Mytilus edulis: one gene and its partner. The main gene of each other region encodes a partner of the protein of the gene in region 2 in a complex. Links are inferred from orthologs where the notes say so. Each region holds a gene or a part of one and is shown on either strand. Other genes may lie near its edges.

Region 1 (6,901 bases), on a different chromosome or scaffold from region 2:
GGCAGAATGACATTTTCTAGTTATATTGGCTATAATCTCTAGCATTATATGCATCAACATATGTACTTTACTAAAAATTGGGATAACCAGTTTTCTGCTAAAGTGACAAAACTTGCAATCTATTGTAAACCTATCTGAACACCTGATCAACAACAAAAGGAATAGTTGACCTTTAAATTTCATTTAAATCTAACAATAGAAATTATGTTCAGTGGGGCATAAGTGAGTAGAATTTACCTGATCATCACAGCTTTCAATCATGGTGAACAATAGATTTTATATTTAGTTAGATAAGCATCAAACTGGGCATTTGCATATTAAATTAAGTACATCAATTGGTGCATCAACTGTTCCAGCCATAATAAGTAGAGAATGCCATTCTGCCCTATATTGATTTAAATCCAGTCTAAACAAAAATATCCCTCTATAGAAGGATAATTTTACCCCTCTATAGAAGGATTATCCCTCTATGCAGGTATAATTACCATATAGAGGGTTTGTTCCCAACCTGATGTACAACAGGCACTTGTTTCTATCCATGGAATAGGGATATGTAATATGGATAGTCAACCTTCCCAAACAAGTGCCTGTGGTTGTAGTTGTACATCTATGGCATAGACAGATCCAGGGTAAAGGGGGGGCAGCCCCCCCTTTCGTTGGAAAAATTTGGTTGATTATATAAGGAATCATTGAAGCATGACTGGAGCGGGCCCCTCCTTAGGTCAGTCAGTGCCCCCAGAGGCGGATTTAGGGGGGGGGCCCGGGGCCCCCCTTTTTGGGAAAAAATTTGGTTGCTTATATAGGGAATCACTGAAGCGTGACTGGAGCCCCCCCCCCCCTTTAGGAAAAGTTCTTGATCAGCCACTGCCATAGGCGGATCCAGGAGGGGGGGCAGCCCCCCCCCTTTTCGTGGGAAAAATTAGGTTGATTATATAGGGAATCATTGAAGCATGACTGGAGCGGGGCCCCCCTTAGGTCAGTCAGCGGGCCTCCCCTTAGGAAAAGTTATGGATCGGGAAGCACTAATGACAGGACGATTGCCCGGATAGTGACAGGACGGTTGACCGGACGAGATATAAATAGTCATAACTTTTTTGTTATTCAGTAGATTTGTTTAATATTTGTAGACCTTAAAGATATTAAAATATATTTTATGAAAATCAAACAAAAAAAGTGAAAAAAATATTTTTGAGTATATAAAGTTGACCGGACGGTATTCACACTCGCCGTTAAACGCTATACATATATTCAACTGGTCGGCAACAAGTGTTAATATCTCTTTTGTTTTACAATATTTGTCAACAAAATTCCGGAATCTGTGAGAATAATAAATATTAGATACGAAAATATAAATTTCAAAGTAAAAAAATAAAAAAAAATGTTTTTCTCCATAAAAAGTTGACCGGACGGTATTCACATTCGCCGATGTACGCGTTAATTATATTGAACTGATAAAAAAAAGTGTTATGTCTTATTTGTTTTACAATATTTTTACACCAAACTAAGAAATCTAAGAGATCAATAAATACTTGATATGAAAATATAAACTTTATAGTACATAAAAATGTTTTTCTTCAAAAAAAGTTGACCAGACGGAATTCACATTCGCCGATATATATGCTTTAAATATATTGAAATGATCGACAAAAATGTTAATATCTCTTTTGTTTTACCATATTTGTCCATGAAATCAGAGACATATAATGTCTCTGATGAAATTAAGAAATTTTGGAGATTTATAAATATGTTATAAGAAAATATTAAATTTATAGTAAAAAAAATATTTTTGAGCAAATAAAGTTGACCAGACGGAATTCACATTTGCCCATATATGCTTTAAATATATTGTACTGATCGACACATGTTAAATATCTATCCATGAAATTAAGGAATCTGTGAACTCTATAAATATACACTTTATAATAAAAACTTTGAGCCCAAAATGTTGACCTGAGTAAGTTCACCAGCACACTAGAAGACCTGATATTTAAAATATTTATTATTTAATTAAGATTACTATCTAATTTTGACACCTGTCGTAATCACCAATCAAGCCAATAATCATGTCATTTAAGTTTTCACACCTGAGACATTAATTGAATTAACTTATATAATCAAGTTGGCAATTAGAATCCAATCAAAGATTACAGTGAATTGCATGCACGTTTTATTAAACAATACAAAATCTCAGATAAAACTAGATAGCTGTCTGACATGGATTAAATTAAAGTGAGATCACCAATCTCCTGGTATCAAATCATTTGAAAAAATAACAACAATGTATTGCAATAAGACCTATAACATTGAAGGAGTAAACTTGTATTAAGTCGTGTTCTGACCCTTTATGATAGAAAATAAAAGACACAGATTACCTTGCACGGGCATCGAACACAAAGTTACTTTAGTATAATACTGCACTGTCACTAACTAGTCTGTCACTATATTTAAATTCAGTTATAAAAAAAAATCACCTTATAGTCTTTCATTTTCTCTTCGAAAGCATTCGAAATTTGATTACTATTGAATTCGTTTCTACTGTATCCAGGGGCTTAACTAGATTCTTTTAAAAGTGAGGCAAGATATATTCGCCATTTGGTGAGGGATCTGGCGGCCGTCAAGACCCCGACCCAGAAACTATGAACAAATATTACGCAAAATCGTGAATCCTGAGAGTTTCGCGGACTCTTAGGAGGCACAATTATTTGAATGTCCCTACCCTTGGAACCTCAGTCCGGTCATTTTTTTTTCAAGAAAGTTTATATTTACATATCATATATTTATTGATGTCGCAGATTTCTCCAGTTTCATGACTTAAATCAGCTGCTTAAATATTGTTAATCCTTAATTATTTTTTTTTATTAACATACATGTATAATCAACGTGTACATCGGCGAATGTCACACACAACACCGTCCAATTATTTTTTTTGGCAGAAAAACATTTTTGTTTATCATAAAGTTTATATTTTCGTATAAAATATTTATAAATCTCATAGATTCCAGAATTTCATGAACGAATATTGTAAAACAAAAGAGATATTAACATTTGTGTTGATCATTTCAATATATTTAAAGCATATATTGGCGAATGTGAATACCGTCCGGTCAACTTTTTATGGAGAAAAACATTTTTTTTTACTATAAATTTATATTTTCGTATCTAATATTTATTATTCTCACAGATTCCGGAATTTTTGTGACAAATATTGTAACCAACAAAAGAGATATTAACACTTGTTGCCGACCAGTTTAATATATGTATAGCGTTTAACGGCGAGTGTGAATACCGTCCGGTCAACTTTATTTGCTTATAAATATTTTTTTTCACTTATTTTGTTTGATTTTCATAAAATATATTTTAATATCTTTAAGGTCTACAAATATTAAACAAATCTACTGAATAACAAAAAAGTTATGACTATTTATATCTCATCCAGTCAACCGTCCTGTCACTATCCGGGCAATCGTCCTGTCATTAGTGCAACCCTTATGGATCCGCCACTGACTGTATGGTCCCAACTATGGTTAGCAAACTCAAAAAAAAAGGAACCATTAGAGTTACGGTTCCGCAGCTACCCGTAACCCGGGCTCAGTCCCCTAATTATTGGTAAATGATGATGATATCGTCAGTAATTAAAAATTACCTTCTTCCTCTTCTTTCTTATCACGCCTAAGCATATGCATTTTTCCTGAAAATTATATTAACCCGACAGGAAGTTCTTCTATTCCACGTTGAATATGAATTCTACGCATGCGGGGAGCTCTCCCACATCTGAAGGTAAGAAAAACTTTCATTTCCTGTCAAAAATAAAAGTAGAAATTGACTCGAATTTTTGTATTGCTTCAAGTTTAGACGAATAACACGTCGTTTTCTCTTAATTTCAAAATGTCAATACGAGTCTTAAAGAATGAGTTTTACATGGATTCGACTATTTCTCTTGCTCTCTTTAGAAACGTTGAAAATGCCAAAGAAGTAAGACAAAACGTGATGAATGGTACATTTGAAGCAGCTTTATTGAAGCCATCAATGGTATGCTAGATGAATTTAAGATGGGTGTAATTAACTTGTAAGAATTCAAAATTAACACATTCAGTCACTTTCTTCGTGTCTGTCAGTACATAGGCTTCAACCAGGCAAGTTAACATAAATTTGAATAGGTTCTGGAATATTTACAGTAGAAGTTTATATGAGGGTGGTTATGGGTTATTTTCTTGCAACATGTTTTGCTATTTTTATTTCACATGCAGCTGTAAAAAAAGGTTCGTTATTCACCATGTTTTGTGAAATTGGTAAAAAGATCAACGTGCAAGACATTTTTAATTGTTCATGTATCGTGAAATGTCAATTTTATTTCACGTTCTCCTGTGAAGATACACCTCCCCTTTTTACGCCCCTCTTATATAGCTCGATACACCTTGTCCGCAATAACTGGACATCTTAAAGGTTCCTGTTACAAATTTCTAATTCCAAAAAGGAAAAGTGCTACAAAGTTCAAGTGTTGCAGATTCCCATTTACAATAATTAAGGTTGATTGACTTTATACAAATTCACCCTGTTATTGTGGCTTTCATGTAACATATAGACACCAGGGTTTTTTTTCAAATATTTTTAAACTTCAATCTTTGATAGCATTCATGTGAGATGATTACATTCTTGTGTTATGTGCTGAAATGTCATCTAAACTTCAATCTTTGATAGCATTCATGTGAGATGATTACATTCTTGTGTTATGTGCTGAAATGTCATCTGAGATTAAATTTAAGAAAAACACCCTTAACATTTGCCTTATGTAGAAAAACTATTTTTAGTATTTTATTGTGTTTAAAAACAACTTATCATTCAAATTTCTTCGTTTCAATGTTATAATAATAGTACATGTATATTCAAGTACAGGAACATTAAACATAGAGCGCTTTGATCACTAGAATTGCTGTCTTTGTCCTATTATAATTGAAAAAAAATATTGTAAAGGCTTAAGTTTATCTTGATTTTACCATGGGTTGGCCTTGTATGCCAATATCTTTTCCAATTGCTATAGCTTGTGGTAAATATGTAGCCTAAAGCTCCAAGCCATAATAAGATCATGATAAACATCAAGTGCATGACGCACTTTGGTCAACTCCTGTAATGAGTTGCACATGCTGTGGTAGGCAGGCCACAATAGTATCTTTTTCTTCAATTCCTTTTACCATATGGTTCTGTCAATTTCTTTGGAAAGCAACAGGTCCAAGATCATGGCAGATATCTTTTGTCTTAATTCAAAGCATAATTATTTTCCTCACTTTGTCAATCTTTGTGGCCCATTAGAGTTACAAACTTAACATTTCTAGAAAATCCAACTATAAATATTGGCTTTTACATACAACTTTCGAGCAGGGATACAATGTGACTAAAAGTCACTTTTTTCAGTAGCTATCATGACATATAAAAAAAAAAAATCTTGATCCTGATCCTTACCGAAAAAAATCAATTGATATAACGCAGAGACATTATAATTATAGTATTAAAAGATTGCTTTTATTTTGTAGATTTGCGATCCTTTCCAAGTAATTGTAGCAGCAAACAGAGCCATTCATTTGAACAGACAGAATAAGATGATTACAAAGAATGTTCATTCAGAAATCTTATTTTGTCTATCACCAACTAAAAATGTAATTATGCAAACATATTTAAGTAAAAAGACAAAAGTAAAGGCTAACATAATAATATTATTATGTCATTGAAAAATGTAGTTGAACCATATTTTTATTTATCTAAAAATTAATTAGGAAATACTAGTGTTATGTACAAAATCTTATTACCAATCGGGACTTACAAATGTAATTGTATATCTTGCATTGATGAACAATTTTGCTGTTTACAATTGTTGTTGAACTGTTATAATATAGTTCACAAGATAGGCACAATGCTAAAGTTGTTCAGCAGTTTGTTAAAAAAAATACCCCATTTATAAACAATAACTCATTATTCCTCAAATATGGATTCAAATGATGCTTTCAGCTATACTTACATTTTTCTTGATCTTAATGCCAATTGTTTTTGCTGTTTACAGCGTTTGTTCATCTGTAAAAGTTTTCAGACATACTATACAACTAAGAAATACAAAATCCTACCTCCTCATGTCATTACTTGGATAACAAGAATTTAAAAACAATTTGGTGTGTTTTTATGTGATATGTAATTAAAGTTGATTTCATTCAATTATGTCCTATTTTGTACAGATATCAGATTCTTTTCGGAAGTTTGGTTTAGCAGATAATGAAACTAGTGTAATGGTAGTTGTTGCAGACGACATAGATGGCAGTACCATGTCAGCAATATGTAAATGTGTAAAAGGAGAATTAAGTGATGCGCAAGATGTTATACATTTGACAGAAACAAAGCCAATACAGAAGGTAAAATTACATACTATTACAGTAAATTGGTTGTAACTGATTTGCAACTGGTTGAAGTTCTGACCAGTTGAAAAGTTTTGTTTGATGAAACAAACTGCAATTTCGGATCAGAATTTTGAATTAATTGCAAAAGGTGGACAGAAACAATTAAAATTAAGTTTTAGTAATTTGAATAGTTGCAGTACTGTATTCATATGCTATAAAGTCAAAAATTCAGACCACCATTTTGGTGCAATAAACCAAAATATCCATGACATCCAATCTTACAATTCTATTATCAAGCTTATGATACAAAATACTTATGCATCATTTTGGTTGTCCTATCAGACCTAACTTTCATCTTTCAGACACTTTTATTGAGCTTCGTAATATAGATGTTTATTGTAGAATATCAATCAAAATATACCATATGTGAATAAAAATGTATGTGGAATCGATCAGTGAGACAGCAACTCAATGACTGAAAAATCTAAAGTTGACTAGGACTCAACATATCTACTTCAACA
Region 2 (7,271 bases):
TGACACATCTAGTTTTATATTTTTTTGTTGCTGTCTCATTGAAGTATTTCCCACATCTCCTTTGATTCATTGGTATGTAATTTTGTATTTATATGATAAATAGTGATCATGAAGTTGAAGTCTATATGCAGTTAAGGATACGTCCAATACAGTGATTTACTCCTATGATTGGCTTCTGCCATAACTGTGCTACTGTCCTCGCTACTATGGCAACAGATACTAATGGGGCACCCATTCCTGGACCTGTAAAAAACAATAAAATGCAAAATGCAAAATACACAATTAAAATTTCAATTTTATTTGACGAACAACAATTATCTTTATATATGACAATGACCCAGAATATCAAGTTATGGAAAAAACAATTAGGTCAAACCGAAAAATAAATTGGCAAAATCATGATATGTTAGTTAATAAAAAAATAATCTCAGACTGACCTTTTGTATAACACACCACATCAATGTGTTTTGGATCTATTTTAGCCTCATCAAGTGCTTCCTTTAATACAACTAGAACATTAGCTCGATGATGGTTAGCTGTGTCTCTGGGCAAAAAACCTGTAATCCCAAAAGGACAGTTTTATACTACATGTAGTACTAAAAGGATCTTAATTTAATATTTCAGTTTTTCTGTTTTAAACTTCTTTTATTATAAATGTAATACATTGTAATTCAAAGACTTTTATATATGGATGCAGGTTCTCATAGAATAATTAATATCAGGTATATTGGCAATTCAAAAAGTATATGACGAAAACACCAAACTGTACCTAACTTCCAATATCATGAAAATTTACTTTGACCTATACTTTTACAAGTTGTGACTTGGATGGAGAGTTGTCTCATTTTCACTTATAACATATCTTCTTTATATCCAAATACAAATTGCTCATATTTTGCTATTAATAGACTTTTTTCATATAACTGGACTTTTGACTCAAGATTAAATTTCCACAGGTCCCTTCTCTGTGATCATGGTGATAAGAAATCATGAAAAAGAAGAAAAATCAAACATATAATCTGTGCAATTTAAAGAGAAATTTTGCTGTTTTCACATGATTTTGTCATTTATAGACAACAAGAAACAGTAAATTTACTGATTTGAAGCTTGATTTTACTTATTGAAGTTGCTCTTACTTGACTGAATACCAGGATTTTCTACAACAGACAAAATGACAGATTAAGTAACCTGTCAATAAAATATAAACCTCAGAGTCAAAAGTCTGTAATATGAAATAGTTTATTGGCAAGTACTTATTTCAAAACCATGAATATCAAATTTTAAGTTTTTACATACCTTGGCCTGGTGGAGTTATATAGGTACGTCTTGGATTTGATAACACTTTTCCATCTTGTATTATACCAATTCCAATCTTATTGGCACTTCCTTCAAAGCCAATTGCTATTACCATTTCTATTTACAAGACAAGAACAAGAATATATTGATTGTGACCAGAAACAAGTATTCTTAAATCAAATATCCTTTATTTTTAATAGACAAAAAATCTGGTATAATGTTAAGTAATTGTTGATCCTGAAGATATAGACAATTAAAAATTTGGCTGGAAATGATTTCTAGATTTTTTTCATACATTTAACATTGGCATCTTTTTTCTTTAAAAAGTTATGAAAAATTAATATCAAAGGATTTTTTTTAAAGATTTTAGTCTTCAACAATGAGCAAAACCTATAAAGGATAGTCAGCTATAAAAGGCCCAGAAATGTCAAATAACAGGCTATTATTTGAACTTGGAATTATTATCAAATATCAATTATGGAATTTACATAATTTCTTTATTTGTTGTATTTTTTTTAATAAATTCCATGTTTATTCTATACTTTAATGTTCTGTGCTGTGCACAACACTTTCTATTACAAAGAAGATAGTACATTTTCAATAGAATGTACTGTGCCGTGCACAACACTATCTATACAAAATACATTGTATGGAAAGTGTTATGAACAGCACAAAACATTATAATACCAAATAAATATGGAATGAATTAAAAATTTCAAGTCTGTACACATATAAGTTTAAAGAGAAAATACACCCATATTTGTCCATTTGTTATGATGAACCTTATAAAAAAATTATGCAATTTTAAGGCTATAAAAGTGTGTCTCTCATCTATAATTTAGGTGTTCTATGGTATTCACCAGTGTAAAATGTGTTAAAACTGCATGGTCTAAACAAACAAAAGTCAATACATCTGTCAGCTATATAAGTGAGCAAATTGGATAAAATTCTAAATGCAAAAAATAGATTTAATTCAATTAAGGGGGTTCGCGGGTCTAAATCATTTATATAGGATTTCTCAATATTTTACTATAAATGAACTTTATCTTATAGTTAAGAGAAAAATAAAATAAAAAAATGGGGTCACCGTTCATTTGCACTCACAATCTGCCTTCGAAAGAAGCATACATCTTTGTAAAAGTGTTTTTTTCCTGTTGAACTAATAAGAGAAATAAAGGTAATATCGAAATAAAAAAAGAAATTCATTACAGAAATTGCTCAAATTTTACAATAATTTAGTTTAAGTAAAGCATATATAGAAATCATATTAAAAAATATAGGTCACCGATGAGTTAAAAGAGATATTTCAATTTTAAAGCCAAAAAATGGCATTTTTCCACCAAAGGGAGATAATTTGGAACTTTTTAGATGATGTTTACATTTTAAAAGTCATCTGGGGCCAACACGAATTAATTTTTTTAATTTTTTTTTTGTACCATATGATAAAGTAACAACTACAAATGGTAATAAATAAAATTTGTAATGAAAAACAAATGTTTATTTTTTTTCTGAAATTTTTATACCCTCGAGCCTCCTTAACTGCTTAAATTTACCTGCTTTAAGAAAACACACTGATAGCAATATGAGATATGGTTTTTAGTTTGTTGTTGATTAGTTTTTATTGGGAATATGTCTCTGGTTCATATCATAACTCCCATTCATGAGGGCTGCTGAGAAATTCTACTTTCAGTTTGTACTTTCGCTTTGTATTTTATAGTAACTGGAGTTTGATCCCGTACAGGTCATTCTTTTAACTATTATGAACCTAATTAAAATGGCTAGAATATTATACAGAAATTTTAATTTAGAACGAAGATTTTTTTTTTAAATTTTGTAAATCAATAGTCAATCTAATGTGTGCAAACTTTTTGTGATTTCTTTATTTTTATACAAAATTGTTCTTTCTTTTAGCAAATGTATACTAAAACTCGAAACGGAGACGGACTAGTATCCGATTTTACTGTGTTAGAGAAGCTTGGGGTAGATTTAAAATTAGGTATTTTAAATGTATCATAGACTTTGTGTATCATTCCTAGTTTGTAAATTATCACACATGAAATGAAAATTAGAAAAATGCTCTCAAGTTCAGAATCACAAACATGACATGCATGATGATAAGTTGAACAAACTATGAAAAGAAAATACAAAATTTTTACAGGAATAAGATCTCTTTACTGACTTTAGTGATTATTGAATTGTACGGTCTGCAACATGGAGCCTTGGCTCACACCAGAAAGCAAGCTGTTAAGGTCCCCAAAAATGACTAGTGTAAACCATTCACACGTGAAAAAGAACGGTCTAATTTATATTAAACAGGTTGGGAATAACTCTAATTGTGGTACTACATGTATATCCCAATTGGGGTATTATATCCTAATTGACTTATCTATGCATACCCTAATTGGCATATCAAACCACTCTTTCCCAGTTCTCAGACTCTCAAATGAAATTTCGCACTTTTTATAAACAACCCCAGTATTTAAGTTCATGAACTGTGTCAAATGATGTATAACAGGATTATGCTGACACAAGCTGCATTTTGTGCGTGCATATCATTTTAATTGCAATTTTAACAACATGGGACTATATAACGGCATTTTACTTGAATAAAATCATATCCCAAACTAAGGACAGATGCAAACATACATGTATGCTGTGGTTTTAAACATTTTAATAGGTTCCAACCTTCACCCTTATCTGAAACAATATTGTAACAAAAATTATACTAGTACATGTAGTATATTGGTATGTTATCGGTCGTCCCACTGTCTATATCACTCTGCTCAGTTCTTAATAAAATTGCATATTACGGCTTTGTGACGTCCAATATGTTGACCCGGACATATCAGTGACGTCATAATGCTTGAACCAACGTTGATAAGTTTGACCCGAACTTATCAGATCATCTTCTGGTTGCTGGTGTAGCTAAGAAAGCACTTCCAAAAGACCCAAATACAGCCTAATAAATCGATTATCAGGTTATTAGCATATTGATATTGTAAAATATAAGCTGCTCGACACAATATGAAGGCATTTTGATCTCGTTCCCTGTGCCTGTTTGACAAAAAGCTGTATATTGTGACTTGAAGCTGATATTTTACAATATCAACATGCAGACAACCTCATAATCGGTATGTCTTGGAAGTGTACTTCTTCATCTGTACCTATTTACTTCCAATTTTTAGACAGCATTAACAGTTCCAGCCAAGATTGATCAGCTCAGAGTCTGAATAGTGTGTCCGGGTTAGGTGACATATCTTCCTGTGGACTGTTTCCTTGTGTACTACAAATCTACATGTTAATAAAATTGTGTAGTGTGTCCATCTTGTACAAAGCAGACTAATATTCTTAGTTTTTAAAAATATTTATTTATATTGGATTGGGAAACAAGTTATTGCAACCTTTATTAATCCCTTTCCGTATTTCATTTACATGATCTCGTTCTAGTTCCAAATATGCATATTAATTTGCCACTGGACGTTAAGCAGCCATCCATCACAATCATTATCCAATTATTTAACACCTTTTCACTGAAATAATTTGCAGAATGAAGAATTATAAAAGTTTCTATTATATATGTAAGACTCAGATCAAATTGTTCATTCCTCAATTCAATGTCCAAATATGAATTCATAATAAATGAAAAATACAAATCAACTGCCTATATGACATGTATGATCTCTTATTAATGTCTTTTTGTCATTCTCAAATCTACGTTTAATATTTGGCTTCTCTAATCAATGTCCTTTTTACCAACTTGCTGCAATGATTTCACAATTTTATTTAAAGAAAATATTACTCATTGTTGAAGGCCTTACTGTGACCTATAGTTGTTAATTTCTGTGTCTTTAAAATTTGGTCTCTTGTGGAGAGTTGTCTCATTGGCAATCATACCACATCTTCTTTTTTATAATTACTGTCATACTCCTGATTTCGTAAAGACATATTATTCCAAACTCAAATGATCGTTGAACCTAAATACTCTAATGTTAAAAAAATCCAAATGATAATACTTTCAATATTTGATTTTATTTTTCTATATTCTGTCTACTGTAAATTCAGAAATTATTGCGATGTTTTTATTATTGCAAAAAATTCCACGGAGTTATAATCGCAATAATTTAAACTCGCATATTTGAATATTTTATATGATTTAAACAGGATAATTTATAATATCGCAAAAATTAAATCGCATTTTAGTTTAAATTACGAAATCACAATAATAAATGCACGCAATATTTTTAAATTTCTGAATTTCCAGTATTGTTTGACACTGTATAGTATTGCCCCTAGATGTCTTTACGTTATCTTTGTATTTGGATTCTGTTACATTGTCTTATATCCACATGTAATTTATTTATATGAAAGGAATAAAGCAACATTGATCTAGTTGGTTAACTTTTATTTATTTGAGATTGTGATTTCACATTCAATTAAAAGATACAGACATCCATCTAAGTCTAACAAATATGTATTTATATATATATATATACTAAATTCCATTGTCCACAGATTAAAATCTAAAAAACCAATTTGCCTTTATACAAGAAAAAGCAGGACACCCCTGTCTCTACCTTCTGCATATGCACATTACAGTTCATATAATTTATTGCTCTGTACACATATTGGTTTTTTACAGTAATTATGACAAATTTATGCTTTCTGTAAAACACAAGTCCTCTGCAAGTAATGCTCTGCAAACCAACTTTTTTACTAGGAGTTTGGTTATAGGGAAGTAAAAATTATGTGAACAATTATATAGTTTGCCATCTCATGTCAAATCTACTTTTCTTGTACTAAGCTAGGACTATAATACATTATGTATAAGCCCCTGTTATAAGATATTTATCAACAAGTATAAAATATGAATAAAAATAGTTTTGGAGTTATTGAACTTGAAGATAATATATACAACATGGAGGATGCAGGAATACTGTTCTTTTATTGCTTTTCAGTCTGTCTGAAAGGACATTTTCCATTGCAGAGTGATATATACCACAGGATGAAATGATTTTATCAGAAGAGTTGACATAAATGGATAGAGACAAGGATAAAGATTCAATTCAGTGTAAGAATAAATCCATATTTACCTTTTTTTTCTTATTTGATCGTTTCAGTTACATTGTGAAAATATTTTAAATGGAAAGGGGAAATAAGTCTAACCTATATAAGTGACACATGAACGATTTTTTGGAGATGAGTTTCTTGTATAATACAGATCATCTTGAAAATTAATATTTACAGATTCAGATATCACAATTAACCCCAAAAAAAAGAAAGAATAAAATGGCACTTTAATTAAAACTAAATTCTTGAATTGCTCCCATTCAGCTACATTGTCGCACACCTTGATGTGTGACATATCAGAACAGGAGCAATTAAAGGATTTGATTTTAATTAAATTTTGCACAAGGGGAACTCTAAGAAGCACTATCACTGTTTATAGGTTTCCAATACTTGTTAATTCTGTGATTATTTTTATTCTATTTAAAAGAAGATATAATTTTAGGTTTTTATTGTAAGAAGAATGGACACAAGAAAGACAAATGCCCTGAAAAAGGAAAACAGATAGAACCTCCACAAGTTCACCAAAGACTGAAATGGGTGAGTTTAAGGACTTAGGTGGTACCTAACACTACAGGAAGATAACTCTGTAAAATCAGCTGAACGTTTTAATTAAGTTGCGTTGTTAAGAGAATTTTATGCTTCTCAATGATCAAAATTAGTGTTTGTCAAACTGCTATATAACCAGTGTATTTCTTTCTAATAAAATGGTTGGTTCAAATTTTTTGAAATTTTTATATTTTTGTCAAAGGGTCAAAGTGAATACTTTGTCAAAATTTAATGAAAATTAAACGAGCCAAATTGATTTTAGTGAAAGTGTTAGGTACCACCTTAAGTTAAATTTCTAAGCATTGGTACCCTGTTAAAAATCTCTGTAGACAGTGTAAAAGATTGATGGATCCTAACAATTT

Evidence for each region.
Region 1: probable tRNA N6-adenosine threonylcarbamoyltransferase (region 2) and EKC/KEOPS complex subunit TPRKB-like share a complex: the UniProt entries of both Homo sapiens proteins name them as parts of the EKC/KEOPS complex. The link is inferred for Mytilus edulis from reciprocal best matches to the Homo sapiens genes OSGEP and TPRKB.

Annotation. Positions count from the first base shown.
Region 1 is NC_092344.1:90,406,035-90,412,935, reverse strand, and holds the start of EKC/KEOPS complex subunit TPRKB-like, read left to right. Parts: upstream 1-3,885; coding exon 3,886-4,029; intron 4,030-5,528; coding exon 5,529-5,651; intron 5,652-6,221; coding exon 6,222-6,395; intron 6,396-6,901. Other genes in the region: coatomer subunit gamma-2-like, read right to left, coding at 3,644-3,683. UniProt on the Homo sapiens protein: Component of the EKC/KEOPS complex that is required for the formation of a threonylcarbamoyl group on adenosine at position 37 (t(6)A37) in tRNAs that read codons beginning with adenine.
Region 2 is NC_092348.1:62,725,631-62,732,901, forward strand, and holds the start of probable tRNA N6-adenosine threonylcarbamoyltransferase, read right to left. Parts: upstream 3,015-7,271; 5' UTR 2,850-3,014; intron 1,414-2,849; 5' UTR 1,412-1,413; coding exon 1,297-1,411; intron 558-1,296; coding exon 438-557; intron 244-437; coding exon 142-243; intron 1-141. Other genes in the region: retinitis pigmentosa 9 protein-like, read left to right, coding at 6,331-6,364, 6,806-6,900. UniProt on the Homo sapiens protein: Component of the EKC/KEOPS complex that is required for the formation of a threonylcarbamoyl group on adenosine at position 37 (t(6)A37) in tRNAs that read codons beginning with adenine.